Linked DNA regions of Oreochromis niloticus. The protein of the gene in region 1 purifies or fractionates together with the protein of each later gene. This does not show direct contact. Links are inferred from orthologs where the notes say so. Each region holds a gene or a part of one and is shown in the gene's direction. Other genes may lie near its edges. The genes, in order: lrwd1, orc4 and orc3.

Region 1 (7,095 bases):
AAACTGGGTTTCAGAAAAATGACTCGCAGCCACTGCTGATTCAACAAAGCCAGATATGTGCAGCTGCTGCACATGATTGTTTCAGGTGACAGATCTTTTGATTCACTTTTGCAATCAGATTTGATTTTGTTTTAAGTCATATTTTACTGTTAAATGTTTATCTTAACAATTATAATTGCAGTTCTGAAAGAGAAAAAAAAAGCCTCAATCCCAACACGTGTATAATTCTCTATTCAATTTATCATCAAAGATTTGTTCTTATCATCACAAAGTCAAAGATTAGGTTTGTGTCAGTCTCTCTGCACACACACACACACACACACACACACACACACAAACATATATTTATATTAGTGCTGTCAGCGTTAATCTCGTTAAAATGACGTTAACATCATAACCACATTAACGCGGCAAATCTCCATTAGCGAGTTACCACGGATCGCCCTGTGCGTGGAAAAATTGCTTTATTCTCTCCATTTGTCATAAAACAAAAAGAACACTGAGGGTGGGGGTGGAATAATATAATGACATTGGAGCTATTTTAACACAATTTCCCCCCAACATTTTTTCCAAAGCAATTCGACTTCAGCTTGGCTTCGCACCACAGCAGATGTTCAACTAATTAATGCACACAAGCCTCGTGAGCACTGCTCACTATTTGGGGAGCTGGCACAGATCCAGCAAACAAGCCCTAGGGTGTCCAAAGGACACATCTTTACAGTTTAAGACAAGTCCAAGTGATTTAGATTGCAGCTCCCTCTGGATCCATCAAATTAGATTAAACTGGAGAGCCTTGGAAGTTCAAGGCGATATTCAACAGCTGGGCTCCGAGGTCTGCCTGCTGCCCTCCAGGCAGGAACTCTGCAGATAGCTCTCTGTAGGTGCTGCAGACTCTACGTACATGAATGTCCTTCCTGTGAATGGCGTGTTTCCATTTATGCCGTGCCTCGCCGTATAAAACTACTAAACATCTGCGAGGAAGGTTCACAGCTACATGGACCTCCCCTGTTAGTCCCAGCTCTGGCAGACCCTGCTCCAGAGACATGGTGAGTGTAGTGTCTGACAACATGTTAATGGTGACTAAGCGCTCCCCCCACAGCCAAGAATCGTCTAAGTGTGGATCGATGGCTGCACCTCGCTCAGGATGATAATCCAGGTTGCACTGCTCCACTGGCTGGAAGCCGGCTAGAGCTGATTCCTGATACATCCGAAGCACAAGTTTATGGCTCAAAGCAGGGAGTCCACTGAAGCCACCCACACGCACTTTCCTTTTCTTGAAGTTCACCTTCGGGCCAAAGTCCTGCAACAATATTGGAGGAGGCTTTTGGTCACTCCATTACTACGGTATATATACTTTCCATACTATATATATCAAATAGAATTGACGACAATGTTATCTATATAGCACATTTTATTATGGGTACACTTAGTATGCTTACCATAAAAGATAAAAAAAGCTATGTAGCTCTACAACATTTAAAGGCAATATAAAACAGTAGTAATTCATCTCATGTCCCACCCACAAAATAAGAGTGTTACAGTAATCTAACCTGCTTGATCTGAAAGCATGGCCCAATTTCAGAGTCAGTTTGAGATAAGAATTTTCTAACCTTTGATATATATTTTGAGTAGCAGAAAGCAATTCTGTCTATTTTATTAATATGATTATCAAAACTGAGACCACAGTCCAAAATGATCCCAAGGTGCCTGACTTGTTCATCGTTTTTCACAGAAAGGGATAATAAATATGAACAAATTTTCTCTGTCTCTGACTTTTTGGATTTTCTATCTTGTCTCTATTCATTTCTAGAAAGATTCTAGACATCCACAAGTTAATGTCATCAACGCAGCTTAATAATTTGTGAACAGGTTAGATCAGTTAAGTGATAAGGTTAAAAAGTAACCAATGACAGAATGTTTATTTCTGCAGTTCTAAAAATATTAACTGACACATAGAAACATTTACCCTTTAGTCATGATGAAACCCAATCGAGAAACTAACGAGTTAAACCAACTGAATCACGAAGCCTTTGAATTAAAATATCACGATCAACAATCAACAGTGTTGAAGGCAGCATGGAGAGGTACGACTCAAACTCTCTGTGAATCAATGTTGATGACCTGAGTAAACTCGGACTGACACTTATATTGACTTTACAGCCCTAATAATCGCTTCTATTCATCATAGTCTAAACAAAAATGTTTTGTTTGTTTTTATTTGATCACATGCTAACCTGTTTTCTTCGACCGGACTGCGACTCCTTCCACACATCCTGGTCCATCGCACATATAAGCTCCTTCTCTTCCTCTTCTGATATGAAGTTCTCCCACAGGAAGACCCCAGAAAAGGGGAAGGATGCAGCCTGGGCATCTTTTCCAACAGCGAGCCTCGACTGAGGATCGTAGAGGAAATGATGGACAATCTTCACAGAAAGACAGATAAACAGAAAAACATCGTTATTTATACAGTGACGCAAATGTATTCCTAGAATTATAATTTTTGGCGATGAAATTGACAGTTTGTAGTGAATGCCTTTTTGTTATAAAGACAAACGCTGTTGGCACACATTTATAACCGCAGTAATATCCCTTTAATAAGGATGGAATGTCCTCCGAGGGCACCCGTACCTTGTTGTGTGCGCTGCTGTTAGCAGTATTTGATTATTTTTTTTACTTGTTATAAAAACAATATAACAGTTTTCTGTTGGAAAACAGTACCTTTGATTCACTCGCCTCCGGCTGTACTTTCTCTTTCAACCCTTCGCAGACGAGACACCGGCGGACACCTTTACAAGCGCATGAAGGCACGTCGTCACTGGTGTCGGGAGCCATCATCCTGCATCTTCTTCTTGTGTCAGGAAGTGGCAGCAAACGAAAACATTTAACTATCGCCAGCTAGCGGAGAATGCGGGCATTTTCAGGGTTAGCAGAGCTAAAGGAGGAAGCAAATAAGAAAACTGATATCTGAATATAAAAAATACAAATGTATATATATTAATAATAATTTTAAAAAACATAGTAGTGGAAGTAGTGTTTGTATCATAACTAGTTATGGTTCACAACCAAAACCATTAACATAACTACATTACTAGTTAATGTTCACTAGTAACATTCACGACTGACTGCCTTAAAAAAGTTGGGGGCAACTCCAAAAGCCTCTTATAGCCTTTGTTTTCTTAGAACAGATAATGATGCAATAAATCATTTTAAAGTGTTTTTGTGGATATTTTGTTGACTCCGTTTACATATGGGAGATTTTCATATACTTCAGTGCCACCCTGCCTAGACCTCTTGCCCCTCCTTGCCGTTCTGTTAAAGTCTTCATTGTTCATTGCTCTAAACTGGGAGTGCCAGAATGAATGCATTTCAGGGGCTACAGACCGCAAAATCTACTCTTCAGTTCTAGACCCTTTCTTTTGAACCATATCCTGAAAATGTTCTGCATGGTGATTAACGGCACAACTTCAACTGAATCATTCAAAAATTACACGAATATTGCCTTTTTTGTTTTGGAACATTGGAACTATACAAAAGCAGAAAATATTCAGATGATGGCTTTTTGGAATGAAATGCCAATAGTATTTCACTTCTTTGTGATCCAAAGAACTTAAAATAATGTAATTTTAAATCAATGTCAATTTAATTCATACAGCACTTTTAATTACACGTAAACTCAATGTGCTTAACGTAAATGAAAAAAGTAATAATAATAAAAACTAAGTTATTGTACCTCTCCAAAAGTTGAATCTGTTCATCTGGACGTAGCATTTTGTGGGAGAAACGTTTTGTCACTCATCCAAGTGACTTCTTCAGTCTCAGCTGACTGCAGGTTTCCCCAAACCTTACAAACAGTACATTTGCATAATGACTGAAACCAGCCCACTGAAGGAACAATGGGCTGTGAGGTCAGTTCCTTAATCATAATTATGCAAATTCCCATGACCATTGATCAACAATCACTGACCAAAACCCACTGATCAAGGAACACTGATCAATGGCCATGAGTAAGTTATTGTACAATTGCCATAGGTTGTTAATCCCTGGCAAGCAAAACCCAGGCTGTAAAAAACAATGTCTTGTTTAAACCACGCCCACCGGATATACGTAACGTTTCCCCGGGAAAGCTCGGTTTCAGCAAGAGTGTTTTGAGTTCGCTCAAGTGTTTGGTAAGTGATATTAATCACATATATTGACAAGTTTTAAGCTGTTTAATAACAAAAGCAAAACCACTAACGCTTGCTCTAATTAAATCAATAATTGTTATTTGTGTTTGTAGCCGAGAAATGTAAATATATAGAGATATATACGGCTGTCGGCACTGCCAACGTGGTTAGCTAGGAGAAACTCAAACTTATTATCATATAACGCTTTCTCATCTTCTTTACGTGAAATATCCTTCCTCACCTTAGTATGGATCTCTATATAGACGTTATGACAACGTTACTTAAAGGATAGAGCGTTATGAAATCGCATTTAGCCTGTTATTGTTGAATAGCCGCTTATTTATCGTAAACTGTTTTTGGAGGAAATTTTCCATTTCTTTAACAGATTAATCATGCTGAGGAGCAAGAGGGGATTTTAATTGCTAAATGCCAAAAATGCCAAAAAAGAGTAATTAGACCAGCTAAAACAAGTGGAACAAGCTCAGTTGTAAACAGTATCTGTGTAATAATATTAAACACAAATCTACTTGTTTAAGTCTTTGTGTGTACTACAGCGTTTCTCATCCACAGGAATTTTCATTGTTCTTGAAGCTGATCAGTGGTGCTGATTACTAATCAGGCCTTCTAAAGCAGTTACAGACCATGTTTGTAATTCATGTTTTCTTATCCTATTGTTTGTATCTAATCATATTCTTAAAGAGCTTTTACGGAGTTTCAGTCCTTGATGTAGTCAGTTTGTTTTGGCCATGTGGGCGGTGCTCTGGTTGCGTGATTAGAACAGGATTGACAATATAAATAAACTAGGAGGACACTTATCTCAGCCCTATCTTCAGTTTGCCATCTTCACTCCTGAATTGTGCTTCTTCCTGCAGATAAGCAATGGAAAAAATCACTGAGAAAGTTTTACTGGAGAAAGCCTCTCCAAAAGCCAACAAACTGGAGCAAATCATGACTTTGAAGTAAGGACTTTGTTTCTCCTTATCATGCTCTGTAGGTGTCTTGCTGTTAAAGTTGCACTGAAGTAAACTGGTAATGCTTAGTTACAGTTGTGGTAACAAGTTTACATCCACTCATCATGGGCATGCTTGTCATGGTATTTTTATGATGATTCTTGTTTTTTTTAAAGTAATTAAAATGTATCCATTCGTTCCACCCTGGAAATTATGAAGCCCTAAATGACCATGACATTTATGCCAATGCTGAGTGCATATAAACAATAAGGCCCTAATATTCAAAGACATTTTGCAGTTGGCTATTTAAAAACTGGAATAAAACATTGAATTAATGGAAATATTTTGATACTTTTGTGATATTTGTGTGTATGCAATAATATTTAAACAAATGATTATAGATGTAATACTATAATCACTAAACGGCTTCATATGTAATTTTATTTCATACCCCATGGAAACACTAACTTTGGTGCTCTTTGTGTTTCAGTCTGTCTAAGATGAGGTTGAAGCTTCAGGATCTACCTGTCAAGCTGCTGTCCCGTCTCCAGTCTCTGGAGAAGTTAGATCTTTCTGGAAACATGCTGCAGGAGTTTCCCAAGAACCTGGAGCTGCCTGCACTTCGCTTCCTGGACCTGAGTGACAACCAGATCGAGGATGTTACCACTCTGGACTCCCTAAGCAACGTAGAAGAGCTGAGGATGGATGGCAACCTCTACATCACTGTGAGCACATAGCTTTGTTTTCTCCTTACACTCCTGTTTTAGGGTTACTCTTTGCAGCTACAGCACAAATGGCAAATACATGAACAGGTTATAACTGACACTTGTCATCAGTATTTCATAAAATCACATACTTCTACACCTACTGCTGTCTGGCTTGGCTCATGGAGAAATATTTGAGTCAGGCTACATTGCTGAATGATCATACCAGCTGATTATTAGTGTTAGCATTGCAAGGGAGCACGTTGCATCAGTTGTCATGACAATAAAATATTCCTGTGTTTGACTCCTCAGCCAGCTCAGGCCTTTGTCTGCTGAGTTTGTGTATTCTGTCTGCATCACCTGCAATACAAACACATGCTGATGATGTGAAATGAAGTCCTGTAGGTGTGAATGGCTCTCTTTTGTGTCAACTCTAAGATAGACTGTGTTCCAACCTTTCTCCCCCACTGTGAAAGAGACACAGTTTCAGCCCCCACTATCCTGCAGACCATAAATGGAAATAAGGAAATCCTTGCTACTCTGTAGGATCTGGTTGTTTTTCTAGGTGATGCATTTGATAAAGCAAAACACATCCCTGCATTCCTATTATCCCAGTACCCCAATGAAAACTGTATTATTAGCAGAGAAATTCTTTTAAAAATGGTTTCCGCTCATTTTCATCCTTTGCTTCTGATTGGCTGCCACTCATAAACAAGATCGAATAGCCGGTAGGTTCAGTCTGAGCTCACAAAAGTGTACACAACAAATATATAAGATCTTTGTCAGCTCAGTAATCAGAATGAGTAATTATATAATAATTCTGAACTATAAACTTGTTTCCTTTTTTGCTGTGATCTCCAGTGTCCTCCACATTTGCACAGTCACATCAAATGTACAGTACGTTTGAAAGGAAAGCGTTCACAGAAAGACTGCACACAGTCATTTTTTAGGTCCCTTCATCATAAAATGCCGCCACACTGACTTAATTGTTAACGTTTCTTTTGGTTATCAGGTGAGTGACACTTACAAGCTGATGGTGTTGCTGCCCAATCTGAGGATTTACAGCGGTAAAGATGTCAGTACTTCTGCCAACCACTTGCGTTATGTCTACAGTGATAATCTGAGGACCAGGGTATGGAACTAATGGCTTATTTTGCTCTACTTCATGGTATTGGTGTTAATGTTCCTGCATTTGATACTGTACAAAGTCATAACATGCACCAAAAAATGATGTTTAGCAGCTGTTGTTTTGAACAAAGATATTTTTGGCACAGATGT
Region 2 (7,473 bases), on another chromosome or scaffold:
GTCATAAAATCAAATCAAATTGATGATTATTGAATATTCATTAATAAAACTAGTAATATATGTTGACTAGATTGACACTACACATCATAGTTTCAAAGTTATAAGGCTTTTAGTCAATTTTCCACCAATACATCATTGAGTTGACCTTGAAAACCTTGGTGGATGTAAGCCAAATTTGAGTGGATTGTTAACATGACCCCACTCTACACTCATACAACGTTTTATCAGAATTCATTCACAACTTTTGAAGTTATTGTGTTTACAGACAGGATGGTGATGTGTGCACACACACAAATCCTATTAAAAACGTCTGATTTTTTGTATTACAAATAAATAATGTTGAATTTACTTGCAGAAAAATGACTTAGAGGCAACTTGTTAGTAATAACACTGTATGACTGTGGCATGATTATATTAAGTACTAAAACAAACCTTAACAATTAGTTATATAAATTTCATATACAGTTTTCACTCTTTCTGTCAGTTTGGACGCATTCACAACACAAACACCCCAACGAGGCTTTCATGGAGATGTTTATTGGGTATCAAGATGTCAAGTCAGCTGACTTTGCAAAGCAAAACTGAAACTACTAAAAATTCAACTAAAACTAGACAATTTCAAACAATAATCAATATAACAAGCACGACAAGACACTTGTTATAACCAAGGAAGGCTGCCATGGCAGTGCAGTCATCAGCACTGTCACCTCACAAGAGGCTCCTAGGTTGGATTCATCCACTGGACTAGATGCAAACTCCTTTCTTCAAAGTCCAAAAACAGGTATGGGGTTAGGTTAGTTGGTTAAGTCTAATTAACTGAGTTTAGGCGAGGACCGACAGGCTGCACTTTGTCTTTGACGGAAGATGGGTAGGCTGTGGTCATTTCTGATGAGCTGTAACCTCAGTTTCCTGTTCTTAGCAGTGTCACCTGCTATGATCTTCTGCTGCTGTAGACCATCTCCATCAACATTCAGTATGTTGCCTGTTCAGAGATGCTCTTCTGTATACTTTGATTACATCCATCCACTTTCTTACACTAATACAATTCAGGATCAAGCCAGAATTTGGTGTAAACAACATGAAGCATGGCTCCATCCTGCCTTGTATCAACAGTTCAGGCTGGTGTTGGATGTGTAACGGTGTGGGGAATATTTTCTTGGCACTCTTTTGGTCCTTAGTACCACCTGAGCATCATTGAAACTCTACAGCCTACCTGAGCGTTGTTGCTGAGCATGTCCATCCCTTTATGATCACAGTGTACCATCTTCTGATGGCTGCTTTCAGCATAATAACACACCATGTCACAAAGCTCAGATCATCACAACCTGGTTTCTTGAACATGACAATGAGTTCACTGAGTTCACTGTACTCAGATGGCCTCCACAGTCACCGGATCTCAATCCAGTAGAGCCCCTTTGGGATGTGGTGGAACAGCAGATTCATGTCATGGATGTGCAGCCAACAAATCTGCAGCAAATGTGTGATACTGTCATGTCATCATGGACCAAAATCTCAGAGGAACAATTCCATCACCTTTTTGAATCTGTGCAAGGCAGAATCAAGACAAGGCAAAAGGATATGTGTGAGTCCTTTCCTCTTTGGAGCTAAAAGAGGCCACTCAAACACATGAGATATCAGTGGAAAGCCTAGGATGTCCTTTATTTAGTACATCAGGACTTTAAGAATCTCAAATCACTCAAAAGATATAAACCAAAAACAAATGTCCATTACAGAGGACATAAATGAATAGGCTGGTTCACAGGAGGACATGACTGGCTCACATCAGAAACAGTAGAAATGAACACAGTGATCTTTAAGTTCTGCTGACTTGATCTGCAAAATAGTTTGAGTTAATGCCGAATAATGACTTTGATTAATTCTAAAAGGTAGAAAAAGTGACAGGAAATTAATTTAGTACAACTTTTTTTTTTCCTTTTCCTTTTTTGGGGGTAGGGGGAAGGGTCATTGTTGCAGAAGGTAAGCTTACATAAAGACCCCTTACAGAAGTTTTAACTTTTGTAACGTTATCATTACCATGTCTTACTTTGTCAAAAATAAAAGGTGGTCTTTACATATTAAGCACAATGTACTAAAATGATCAGAAGCCAATGGCTACATACTGAAACTCAGAATATGTGGACTCACAGGGTTAGAAAAAAAGTCACCATCTAATTAAAAACAATCCCATTACCAGTTATTTTGCTAGTACCTTACAGGTACTTTGTTAAATACTGTATATGAAGTGTAATTTGATAAGCGTTTAACACCATAAGCTACAAACTGCAATGATAATGATTAATTACAAGAACATCTTTTAGCAGAAACTAAACTATTCATATTTATGAACAAGATGACACTCATTAAGGTTAATTTTGACTGGCTGCGCGCACAAAAACTACAAAAATACAACACAAAGTTGCAGTGGAGCAAAAACAGACACTCAGCAAAATAATTTCCTGAGATAAATAAAGGTCATAAAAGCTGAAGAAAACATGAGCTCAGCCGTCTGAAGCGAGGACGAGATGCAGCTCAGGGTGCAAACGCCTGAATTTTGTGTGAAGGTCAAACCCGAGGAGACGTTAAATGAATTCAGCGTAGGGCTGCTGAAGGAAGGAGCGCTTCATGTATTTTTAAGGGCAAACACAGAGGGCTGAATGTGCGAGCGGAGGGTCGTATTTTAGAATAATGTGACAGGCTAAATGTGAGCGGAGAGCGGGAGACGATTTGCGAGATATCTGGCGGTTTGCTGTGTCTTTTTTTTTTCCTTTTCATCAGTCAACCAAAAAGCCGCAGGAAGCGTTTAAGTGTCTCCAGAGCTTCAGTGAGTAAAAGATGCTGTTATGCAGGCGGCCTTTTAGCCATTCACATGAGCCATCCCTCCTAATTTTATCAAACCAGAGCAGAAGTGGCTGTTATAGTTTCACAAATAAACGTATATATAATTACACATAATTGTAGTCTTTCTCAGTGCCGACAGACTATTTCTTATATATCTTACTATAACACAGAAAATCTGTGTGTTCATTTCTTTGTCTACCAACTCCTCCTACATGATCACAAGCAGCGCAACCAAACTTGGCACACAAGTATGTCTTAGGCACCTGAAGGTTCTTATCTATGTCAAATGTTATGATGCCATCATGTTGCCTAGCAACCACCTATAGCAACTGGCCAAAATGACTTGTTTTTAGCATTTATGCAGATGTAAAATCTCTTAAGAGCATCCTGTTATTTTAATTTCACAAAAATAACATAAAATGTAATCTACAAAACTTGAATTGTGAATAATATATTATATATAATATCATATTGTTTTCATTTCATAGCCAGTAAATGCTGTAGAACGGAAATGCGCAGGATCAAATTCAAGAATAAAATGTATATAAAATTCAACAAATAAAATCCTATTCATGTAAAATTCATAAAAAGCATAAAAAGACACATTGTTTTTAACTTTTGCCCTCAAGACAAGGATGTGTCATTTGTTATAATAACAAATTAAAAATATTGTATTTGAAATTGAAATTGAAAATAAAATAATATTTTGTCATTTTAATTTATATATTTTTTAAACAAGTTCAAAAGTCTGTACACACCTGAATGGGTTATTCAAATATTCAAATTCAAATATAACCTCTGTGCAATGTCTTCTTTACTGCTAATACTTTTATTAAATCACAACGTGACTTAAATTGTTGTGGATTTATGTTAATAGTATTGACATATTTGAATAGCTTTGTGCTTACATAGCTTCAAATCTAAATCTCTACTTGAGCCCATTTCTGATGAGGCTTCAGTGAACAGTAGATGGTTCTGTGTCAGCTCTTTACTGGATTCTTTCATGTTTTTTAAGGACATGATTTTCAGATACTGTTCATCTGATGTAGATGGTTTTTGAAGGCTGACAGCTCTTTAGCCCTCCACTTCTCCAGCTTCCTCAGATTTTTTTGAGGGCAGACTGCACACCATGTTGTGCTATGCCAAGTTTTCAGCTAATAGCTTTTAGGAATCACGTTTGTTAGTACAAAAAATACTGTTTAATGTCTGTCAAACTGTGTAATCTTTGACATTTTTCATAGATCCAACTAAAGACATTAGAACAAATGATGTGTTTTTGTGGTTGTGGTTGTCTTTTTTACGCTTCAATGATTCATAGTGGTTTAACCAGCAAAAGATTGGCCAGGGACAAGGACTGAGCAGAAAATAAGTGAAAAAGCAGCCGATATCCAAAGAAAAACGTTCAAAGACATTCAGGAAGCCTCAAGAACTACTGCTCAAGACCACTTTGAAAACAATAGAACAAAGTCTGTCTACTTGGTAACAAAATATAAAAAAACACAATTGTTGACTTTTGCACATTATCATATGTCATGTTTTTCTTTTAAATCATTTTTTATTTGTTATTATTTTATTTGTGCGTATGTGTGTGAATAATATAATTCCACAACCACAGCGCTGCTCTGAGTCACAGCCAATCAGAGAGCAGATATAGTCAAAGCCGGAAGTCGTCATCGCTGGCAGAGGAGTATTCCCGCGAAGATTGAGGCGTCTCATCGTTGCTCCCGGTATGTTTGTTCTGATGTGTGTGTGAAAAGAAGCTCGACTAGCTGACACCTGTCTTACACAACGGTAGAAGTAATCAAAGTTAGAAATGGAAAACATTCGTGCTTCTTCAGCACGCTTTTAGCGAGCAGATCTTCGAGTAAAGCCCTGGGTTGCGTCGCAAGCGTGTAGCACCGAGGTTCTGTTGTAAAAATGCCAATTTTGTGTTCTCCTGACTTGTCGGCGGATATGATCTCAGCCTTGAATGCAGCCCGAGACGGATTCTCACACTTATGAGTCGCTTTCTAATTCGGCATACATAAAATCTATTTAGACATTCATTTTTTGACCAAATTGTAAGTTAAGCAGTCAAAGGCAGCTATGAGATAGAGTGTTATTGTTGCATCAGCTGTATACCGAATTAAATTGTTTTATCTTCACCTGTTATCGACCCTAACATTGGTTACAGCACAACTGTAAACATGTCCTGAAGCGATGTGATTTCGTTTTGGTGATTATTAGTCTTACATTTGGCTTAAACTAAAAAAAAAAAAGGTGTTATTTATTGGAATTAAAACCGTTGTTTCCACCATGTTGGTGCATTTAATTGACACCTAACGGCAATGTAAAGTGTCAGTATTATCCCCCTGATAAATGAATTTAGTGGCATGTTGAAGTTGACCTGTTTTCCCACTTTTTCACATTTTGCAGTTGACAGTCACATCATCATGAGTAAGAGGAAGGCCAGAGATGCTCATCTGCCTGTAGGGGAATGCATCAAACAGGTGTGTGTATGAACAGCCAGTGAGTTTTTCAGTGTCATACTCTGAAATATACCTAATAAAATGTAGTTTATTTATAATACATGTTTCTGTGCAGGTTCAGCAGATTTTAAGGGAGCGATTTTGTGAGAGGCGGCTCCCTGACAGACTAGAGGGAGTAGAAGCTCAGTACAAGTAAGTTCATAACAGCAGGGCCTGTGGATAGAGGTGATTTTATAATAATGTCAACAAGAAAATCACGGAGAAAATCAGAACGTTAAATTCAAACAAAGTTGGATATTAAAATAAGAAACAAGACAATCAGTGCGAGAAAAGAAACTGGAGAAATGACTGGCACAGGTTCCTGCCTCATAGCTTCAACCGGATCGGCCTGTTTTAATCCTCGGGGCGTTTCTGGCGCTGTCAAAGCTGTGTGTTTGTGTCTGTGTGTGTGTGTGTGCGCATTGTGACTTCGTTATGGTTGTCCTTTGAAAACACATTCTTGTTTAAAGTGGAGGTCTGGAAAGAGGCTTAAAAATGTGAAAACACACTGACTGGTAAAACACTGCCCACTGTGGTGAAACGTATAGTAACAGTATGTAGGGTGTAATTATGAAAGGTACCTTTACTAGTGATCAGTAAAAGGTTAAAAGTTCGAGGCCATTCCAACCTTACTGTTTATACAGGAGAGGAGGAATCTGTTGTAATCTGGCCTTGTGAAAATAAAACCATGAATAATTTGTCCTAAGTGTTTGGGAAAGGCAAATAAGCTGTGAAGGGTGTTTGTTTTTGTTTCGGCTTCAGTTCCTACAGGTGTTGGATGGTTTAGAAGGCCTGTAGTAGAACTGTCATCTATAATTAAGAGCAGACCTGGAGCTCGGTGTGAGTTTCAGTGACCCAGTTCAGTCGCACCTGGGTGACAGCTCTGTCCCAGTTTCCTGGCCGACTCGGCCACAACACGAGCTTCCCCAGTGAGAGATTTCCACTCATTAGAAGCAGGAGATGGGGGTGTAAATTTTACTAAGCATTGTGGGTATTGTAGTTAAAGCCATTGTGTTTGCAGACACCTCCTGGAGCTGCTGAGGCGGACGGCGATCCACGGGGAGAGTAATTCTGTGCTAATCGTGGGTCCCAGAGGAGCAGGGAAAACGACGGTGAGCCGTGGAAAAAATGAATTTGTGTTTTTTAAATTTAAATAATTTTTTAAAAGTATGGACTTGTTGTGAATCCTGTGAGGTTTGTGTTTTTGTGCCTGAAGCTGCTGCAGTGCGTGCTGAGAGACCTGCAGAAAGAGGAGAAGGTGCAGAAGAACCTTCTTCAGGTTCACCTCAATGGTGCCAAACCTCATTTAAATTCCTCACAATTTAAGAACCCACACGTTTGCTGGAAATCTGAATTGGATGGATGGGTTTGTGTGTTTGCTGCAGGTCTCCTGCAGACTGATGACAGAATAGCGCTGAAAGAAATAACCAGACAGCTCCACCTGGAAAACGTTGTTGGAGACAAAGTGTTTGTGAGTATTAAGAGAGACTGTTATTAACATTTTCAGCTCTGAAAACTCCTACAAAAATCTTTCTACCTTTTTTTTTTTTTTTTTTTTTTCCTTAGGGAAGCTTTGCTGAAAATCTGGCTTTCCTCCTGGAGGCATTAAAAAAAGGTGAGAAAATTCAAATATTTAAAGCTGATTTCAGACTAGAGGGGCAGGTTTGATGTTTTTTTTTGTTCTTGTTTTGTTTTTTAATCCTAAAAGGCAATCGCAGCAGTAGCTGCCCAGTGTTGTTTGTCCTGGATGAGTTCGACTTATTCGCCCACCACAAGAACCAGACTCTGCTCTACAACCTGTTTGACGTCTCACAGTCCGCCCAGGCTCCCATCGCCGTGGTTGGCGTCACCTGCAGACTGGTGGGCCTCAGAATACCTCTCAGAAACGCTACTTAGATAATGGTAGGTGTTTTTAATACGTGTTGTGATTCTTTTTCCATTCAGGATGTTCTGGAGCTGCTGGAGAAGCGGGTGAAGTCGCGGTTTTCCCACCGTCAGATCCACCTGCTGAGCAGCCTCAACTTCACCCAGTACCTGGAACGGGTTTGGACGCAACTCAGCCTGCCGGACAGCTTTCCTGACAAGAAGTTCGCTCAGGAGTGGAACGCTGGTGTAAAGGTGAAGCTAG
Region 3 (6,933 bases), on another chromosome or scaffold:
ACACTTGAGTAAAATGCACGATTATACTAATGAGATGATAGACGAACTAAAAAGAACGCCATCCAAACTGTCTCCATATCCTTGTCAGATCTGTCCAAAAACATTTACAAGAACGACAGGGTTGAGAATTCACTATGAAAAAGTCCATCGATTGTCAAAGGCAGAAATGCAGAAGCTTAGAATTAGTGCTAGAAATAGACGTGCATTTAGACTTAACAAAGCTGATGCAGTTATTAAACGTCCAAACACCGATGTCAGTAGCAGCCAGATAGCAAAGTCTGCACCTGTAACTCCTGCTATAAAACAGGAACCACTTGATGTTGCAATTGCACCTCAACCAGACGCTGCCAACAATCTAGACGTTCCTCAGATCACTCCAGAAGACGTGTCAAAGCAAAGCGTGACCTCTGAGGTATTGACTGTTACACGACTACCATCACCTCAAAACTACTTGACTGACAGGCCGTTTGAGGAAGTGGCACAACCTGCTCCTGAAAAAGCTCCAGAGGAACCTAAAGTGGCTGTTATTAACAACAGTCCAGAAATGACACTGAAATCCAGTTTGAAAGAGAAACTCAGTCCCGTTGGCAAAGCAAAAGTGCCGCAAGGAAAATTAGCCGTGAGCCCGAGCAAAGTGAAACAGCTAAAGTCTCCGCCTTCATCTCCTTCATCGTCTCCTGAAAAACCCAGCAGCTCCAAAAGCACACCAACAAAGGAGGAGAAAAAGGAGAAACTTCAGAAGAGGTTAAGCCTCAAAATGTTTGACGCAGACAATGCCTACAGTCCGTACAGACCTTATCGCTGTGTTCATGAGGGATGCACTGCAGCATTCACCATCCAGCACAATTTGATACTCCATTACAAGGCCATGCATCAGGCATCCCTGCCCCCTAACAAAACTGAAGGTGAAACTGAAGCTGAAAAGACCAGCGTTAATACCGGACAGGAGAGCGATCAGACCATAGAAAAAGATAATGAAGTCAGGTGTCAAGTGAAAAATTGCTCAAGGGTGTTCATGGGAATCACACGGCTGGTGCAACATTACCTCTTACTACACAAGTTCACCCGTGACAAAGCCACCGCCATGATGGCCAGTATGAGCATAGGAACTTTTAACTGTGACCGGCCAGAGTGTGCTCTCCCCTTCAGCTCTGTGGAAAAATACATTGAGCACATTAAGAATTACCACAAGGAAATCGCCATTTCTGAGAGCGGCTCCGTTGATCCAACTTTCCGGTGCGAGTACGATGGATGTGACCGAGTGTACACTACAAAGTCAAACCTGCTCCGTCACCTCATCAAAAAGCACGACTATATTTATGACCCCAAAATAAGTGATGGAAGAAGGACTAAATCGGTAGGGCTCTTCCCAGGGGTTAACAATGGCAAAGAGAACGTAGAAAGCAAATTCAGAGTGAAAAAGAAAAACACTAAAAAGAAAGATGGAAAGTCCATTGAACACTGGACTAGTTTTGGAAAGCCTACACTAAAATCTCACGAAGAAGCATCGGCCATGTGCACCAAGAAGTCCTCGCTGCAGTACCCATGCATGATCATAGGTTGCGATGCAGTGGAGTCTGCTGAAAGAAATATATTTAAGCATTACACCACACATGGCCTCACAGAGAGATACATTGAAGATCAGAGGAGCCAGTTCATTTTCTGCAAAAAATACTCACGCGCCAGATGCAAAGATGCAAACAAAGCAGAGGGCACGTCAGCTTCATCTTCTGAGGACATGGAGCCAGAAGAAGTTGAAAAGCCCAGTGACCAGAAAATTGATGAATCGGTAGAAAAAATAGTCCAAGAGGACAGCAAGCTGTCCAACGACGATAGTGCAGAATCTCAAGCTTCCACTGGGACAGAAGGAGGAATTAAAAGAGGCCGTCCCAGAAAACCTGCACATCCCACACCAGCTTGTCCGGAGAGGATACAAACCCTTAGGAACCGCACGACTGTTAACAGTTCAAGAGAGAACTCAAATCCTGGTACCCCTGCAGCCCAAGAACAACGTGATGACGGGGTTATGTCAGCGTCTTTCAAGCCGTTAGGACTTGAGGACTCCTTTCTTAAGTTCTTGGAAACCTCAGAGTCGACCAACTCTTCCAAACGCAAATTAAATGATAAATCTAGTGCTGAACTGCCTTCCAAAAGACAACACACTAACAAACAGAAATCTGCAACCAAAAGTAAAGCAGCTGATGAATTGAAAGGTTGTGAGAGTCTTGTAGACTTCAGAAACCCCCTCAATCTCCAATCAGTGAGTAATGTTAAGATAGTCATGGATAAAACATTATCAGATGGCGCTGATCTTTTGCTAAAGCAGCTACAAGACATGCGGCCCATAGTCATAATAAAAAAGTGGATTTATAGCGGATCATAACCCGATATTTTTTGTTTTCAGCTCAGTCTTACTCAGGATTTGAGAAGTTATGCTGCAGAATGGTTTGTTAATGCATCAAATTTCCAACTGTTAACAGTCATGGTCACACTTAATGAAAAAAAAAGGCCTATTTTGTACCTAATGAAATAACGTCTCGGATGATTTTAAGTATGTATGTTAGTTATAATAACCAGGTAATCTATAGGGCATAGATTTTAGAAACATGTTTGTATTTATGCTTAGTACTGAAGATGTTTTTTTTTCTTTTGCTAAATGGAGACTTTTAAAGAAAACTATGTTTTTATATATCCCTATGGGATTTCAAGTTCTGTTTGTATTTATTTCATCCTTTTACAACACTAGTAGACCTATCTGTAATATTTACATGTCTTCCACAAAGTGTTCAATAAAATGTTACTGGTTCTTTTTATAACATACTGACTGCACACTTTCTATTGTTCTAACTTATATAGTTTACAGTAGCTTTGTTTACGCACAATGCCGCTGTGAAATTATGCACATGATTCGGTTTTAAATGATATAATATATGGAAACTTGGAATATGGTGGGAAAAGGTTGTTGTGAGTAACTGAATAGATGTGGAAACTTTTCATATTTGTGGACACAAAGCTTCCCAAAGGAGCCTGGAAAATGTACAGTTTTTGAAACTTTTTCCATAAAGGGAATGCCAGCAATCTACACAACTAAAGTTGTAGACCTAATGTCAGTTTAAAACACCTTAAATTGGGCATACTGACATGAAAAATGTCAATAGTATAAATAAATCAGTGCATTAAAACATACTTGCATATTAAAACATATTATGGAAGCTTGTTTCTTTCTCTCAAATTTTCCCCCATTCAAACTTCACAATTTCAACTTGCTCAGAAACTAAATTTTGAAACGATATGATGAAAATTGACGTAGCTCTGCTTGCTTTTCTTCTTCTTTTTTTGCAGAAATAAGCCTCCATAGTTCATGGAAAAGTACATTTTAACATAAAAAAAATAATATATTGAGCTTATTTCTATAATTAAACATACTGTTCATTCAGGGGGCTTGTGCATGCATTTTTGGCTTGTTTTTACATATTTTTTCTTAAGGTTATCTAAAACTTTAATTTATTGCGACATATTTCCTCCACACAATGCACAATGGGAATTAACTCAGCTAAAAAAAACTATATATATATATATGAAGAAGTAGGTATGCACTGATTTGAGACTTAAATGGCTGTAATAGAGCTTTATGATTGTTATTGCGTCATTATTTTAAGAGTTGCCAGCTGTAACGCAAAATGGACCTGAAGGACAGTAACGGGACACCGGAGATGCTTTGGGGGAACGTTCAAGATCAGCAATGTTAGAAAGCGTTAACAGCAGTGATCTAACGGGAAAAAAGCTTTCGTTCCTTCTTTTAAATTATTTATCTGGTGTAATTTAATGTTAGTTTTGAAAAGTGGGTTGTGGTTGCATAACTTAAAACAACTTGACAAAAGTATGAACTCACGCTTGAAGCTGTTTATCAGCTGAACACAACCCTTTCCGTATACGTCACTTTGGCGGGAAGTAGATACCCAGCAAGGCTACAGGCATCCGTCATTTTAAATGCACATAGGACCTCCAGCTCAGGGTACAGGCCGGGCTATTCACTGCGGACCCGTGTAGCGAAAGATGGCTACTTCATCCGTGTCAAAGGTAAAGTCTTATATATGTTGTGCTTCATGCATGTTTGATTAAAACTTATTAATTTACTGGCAGTCGTCATACAATGTTAAATGAGACTATTTGTCAACGTTTTTAGGGCTGCTTTGTTTTCAAGCCCAGCGCTAAGAAAAAGAAGAAGACTCTCAGTCTGGGTGAGATACGCGAGTGTTTATACAAGATTTGTCTTCCCGAGCTGTCGGGTGGATTTAGTGGTATTAAGTTGCTGATGTCATGTTTTTTCGCCACAGAGAGTTACTTCGTTCAGGGATGCGAGGATGCTGAGAGCAGTGAAATACGATTCAGGTTATGTCAGGAACTGTGGGACGAAATCAAAACAGACACAGAGGTGAGGACAGATGTTCAGCAGGAAGGCCAGAAAGTAGACTTTTCTGTCCCAAGAAGAAAATATGTGCTCAAAGTAAAGTTAATAAAACTGAGAAAACAGTTAACTGCCTCTAGTTTTTATTGTATACATGCATATTTATGCACGACTCTTCATACTACACATGGCTTTAATGTTGTATATGCAAGCGTGCTTTTATAGTGTTGTAAAATTGAATATATAGTGACAAAAGCAGGAGATGCCTCTGGAGTACTCTATTAATATGATTTTTTTTTTTTAAAAAAGTCGTTAATTTAGTCATGGTTTGATTTTTACTGAGCAGACCGTTTTTGTATCTTCTACATACAAATACATTATACATTCATATGTACTTTTTTGCTTCTTAGGTTTTACAAGATGAACTCAACAGGACAATCTTGGACAGTTTGCTGGACTTCACGAGGAAATGCTCCTCTACACGTCAAAACAGTGACTGGACATCACAGATGAGGGCCAGTGAAATCCCCACAGCAGCTCTAATGCTCGGTATGTTGGTTATGAGGCAGTAATATCTGATGTTTGAGTTAAAAAACATGTATGACTCTCACAACTACATATGATGTAGTATTAGTAGATTTTTAGTAGAAACGAGGCATTTACATTACATGCTGTCATCTCTACCTAATCTGAACTTCCTTTAATGTCCACTCTAGGTGTGAACGTCCCAGATCACGACATGACCTTTCAGAGTCTGTCTGACATGCTAAAGCAGTCTGTCAGCCCTCACGTGGCCTCTGTGCAGGCCAAAGAGTGTGGAGGTAAGGGGTTTCGAGATCAGTCAGAAATCATTTTGTGCTCCCCTCATAGGCTTTGCTTTAAATGGTATGTGTTTGGTTTATGATTTCAGCACTGAAGCATTTGATGAAGAAGGTGCTCGAACGGTTGATGGATACAGTTGTGGTTGTGGATGATGAAGATGAGGAGGAGAATGTGGAGACGAGCCCTCGGGTCCATAGGAGCATGCACTGCTCTCTCGGGATACTTTGTGATTGGTACACTGCAAGAACAAAGGTGGGAGCACAAACCACTGCTGGCGTGCATACAGAGACTTGGATTGTAAGTGATATGTATCATATATGATTTTATTTTTTTCAGAAATCTCCCACTGGTACTCCAGGGAAAAAACGTAGCTCTCAAGTCAGAGATGAGCAGCAGCAGCCTCCTGTTGTAATCATTTTCAAAGATTTGGAGGCTTTTAACCCAAGAGTTCTTCAGGACTTCATCCTCATCTGCAGGTAAATGAAGACTCTTGAGTTGAATCGCTTTCTTATTTTTAGGGCTGCAGATAATACACAAATCATTGATAATGCATTTTGGATTTGCAAGCTGGGCAAGTCTCTGCTAAACAAACTCTGCTCCACAGTCAGTACATTGACCGCCTACCGCTGACCTTCATCTTTGGGATCGCTACATCACCCAGTACCATCCAGCACATGCTTCCCCACTCCGTGTCCTCCCTGCTGTGCATCGAGCTTTTCCAGTCACTGTCATGCACACAACACCTGGCTACAGTCATTGACAAGGTAAGTTCAACCTGACCAAAGAATAAAAAAACATAAAAACACTGATCTGTGCAATCCTCCAGACGGGAAAACCTTCCTGATATCTATGAGTCCATGTGTACAGTTAGCTTTCCAATCTGAAGACTGTTGCATACTTAAGCATATCCAACATCTTCTTTTTAAAAGCGGTTTCCTGAGTGTAAGTTGCATTTTAAACCTCCTGACAACACCAGGTTACAGACGAGCAGCCTCTGGTTAAAGAGGCACGTTTTCAGGAATTAGATGGTACATTTATTATGAAGTGTCCTACATTTATAACAATAGTTTCTGTTTTCCATTTCAGTGCCTCAAAAAGGATACATTTCTTTTTGAGCCATAGCGGTCACACTAACCCTAACTGTAGACGATCAGTGGCCTGGAGGATGTAAAGAAATTAAATAAAAGTAGTTAAATTTTCTTTCTTTTATTATTTCAGTTGATCCTGGCATCACGCATTCACTTTAAACTCAACGGGAAAGTGATGCAGGTCCTCATTGGTGTCTTCCTCTACCATGATTTCTCAGTGAGAAACTTCATTAAGGGACTGCAGGTATGGAGCATCCTCTAACAGTCTCCGCAAGTCTGTCATCCCCCTGCTTTCTTGCCTGAAGTGTAATTCAAATACAGAAATATGTGAGTTTAAAGTTTCTGTTTGGTCCTTGTGCAGCTGGCTCTGCTCGAGCACTTTCACTCTCAGCCTCTCAGTGTTCTGTGTTGCAAGAAAAAGCAGGCTCTGTTCAACGTCACACAGCTCAGCAAACCCAACTTGGACAGGATAAGACAGCTGCCGTCGTTCAAAAGGTACTCAAACTTGTTTCTTTCTCCAATCATCCACGTGTGTGAGTCTAAAGTGCAAATGCAGCACTTATTTAGCTGCAAAAAGTGATAGTAGGTGTCTTAGCATGTTTTTAATTTGTGTAT

The links.
Region 2: the proteins of lrwd1 (region 1) and orc4 purify together in Homo sapiens (affinity purification with mass spectrometry; 3 studies listed by BioGRID and IntAct, with this or other methods). This does not show direct contact. The link is inferred for Oreochromis niloticus from reciprocal best matches to the Homo sapiens genes LRWD1 and ORC4.
Region 3: the proteins of lrwd1 (region 1) and orc3 purify together in Homo sapiens (affinity purification with mass spectrometry; 4 studies listed by BioGRID and IntAct, with this or other methods). This does not show direct contact. The link is inferred for Oreochromis niloticus from reciprocal best matches to the Homo sapiens genes LRWD1 and ORC3.

The regions. Positions count from the first base shown.
Region 1 is NC_031975.2:24,535,710-24,542,804, forward strand, and holds the start of lrwd1 (leucine-rich repeat and WD repeat-containing protein 1), read left to right. Parts: upstream 1-4,084; 5' UTR 4,085-4,166; intron 4,167-4,175; exon of another isoform or gene 4,176-5,029; intron 5,030-5,035; 5' UTR 5,036-5,042; coding exon 5,043-5,122; intron 5,123-5,603; coding exon 5,604-5,838; intron 5,839-6,829; coding exon 6,830-6,949; intron 6,950-7,095. Other genes in the region: alkbh4 (alpha-ketoglutarate-dependent dioxygenase alkB homolog 4), read right to left, coding at 779-1,300, 2,235-2,423, 2,719-2,835. UniProt on the Homo sapiens protein: Required for G1/S transition. Recruits and stabilizes the origin recognition complex (ORC) onto chromatin during G1 to establish pre-replication complex (preRC) and to heterochromatic sites in post-replicated cells.
Region 2 is NC_031986.2:18,203,501-18,210,973, forward strand, and holds the start of orc4 (origin recognition complex subunit 4), read left to right. Parts: upstream 1-4,442; 5' UTR 4,443-4,565; exon of another isoform or gene 4,566-4,635; intron 4,636-4,641; exon of another isoform or gene 4,642-4,898; intron 4,899-5,253; 5' UTR 5,254-5,270; coding exon 5,271-5,327; intron 5,328-5,421; coding exon 5,422-5,498; intron 5,499-6,366; coding exon 6,367-6,457; intron 6,458-6,561; coding exon 6,562-6,637; intron 6,638-6,730; coding exon 6,731-6,816; intron 6,817-6,911; coding exon 6,912-6,960; intron 6,961-7,053; coding exon 7,054-7,205; intron 7,206-7,289; coding exon 7,290-7,463; intron 7,464-7,473. UniProt on the Homo sapiens protein: Component of the origin recognition complex (ORC) that binds origins of replication. DNA-binding is ATP-dependent. The specific DNA sequences that define origins of replication have not been identified yet.
Region 3 is NC_031983.2:13,549,188-13,556,120, forward strand, and holds the start of orc3 (origin recognition complex subunit 3), read left to right. Parts: upstream 1-3,926; 5' UTR 3,927-4,056; coding exon 4,057-4,080; intron 4,081-4,186; coding exon 4,187-4,241; intron 4,242-4,337; coding exon 4,338-4,435; intron 4,436-4,818; coding exon 4,819-4,957; intron 4,958-5,124; coding exon 5,125-5,229; intron 5,230-5,318; coding exon 5,319-5,482; intron 5,483-5,566; coding exon 5,567-5,706; intron 5,707-5,834; coding exon 5,835-5,994; intron 5,995-6,448; coding exon 6,449-6,562; intron 6,563-6,679; coding exon 6,680-6,813; intron 6,814-6,933. Other genes in the region: znf292a (zinc finger protein 292a), read left to right, coding at 1-2,383. UniProt on the Homo sapiens protein: Component of the origin recognition complex (ORC) that binds origins of replication. DNA-binding is ATP-dependent. The specific DNA sequences that define origins of replication have not been identified yet.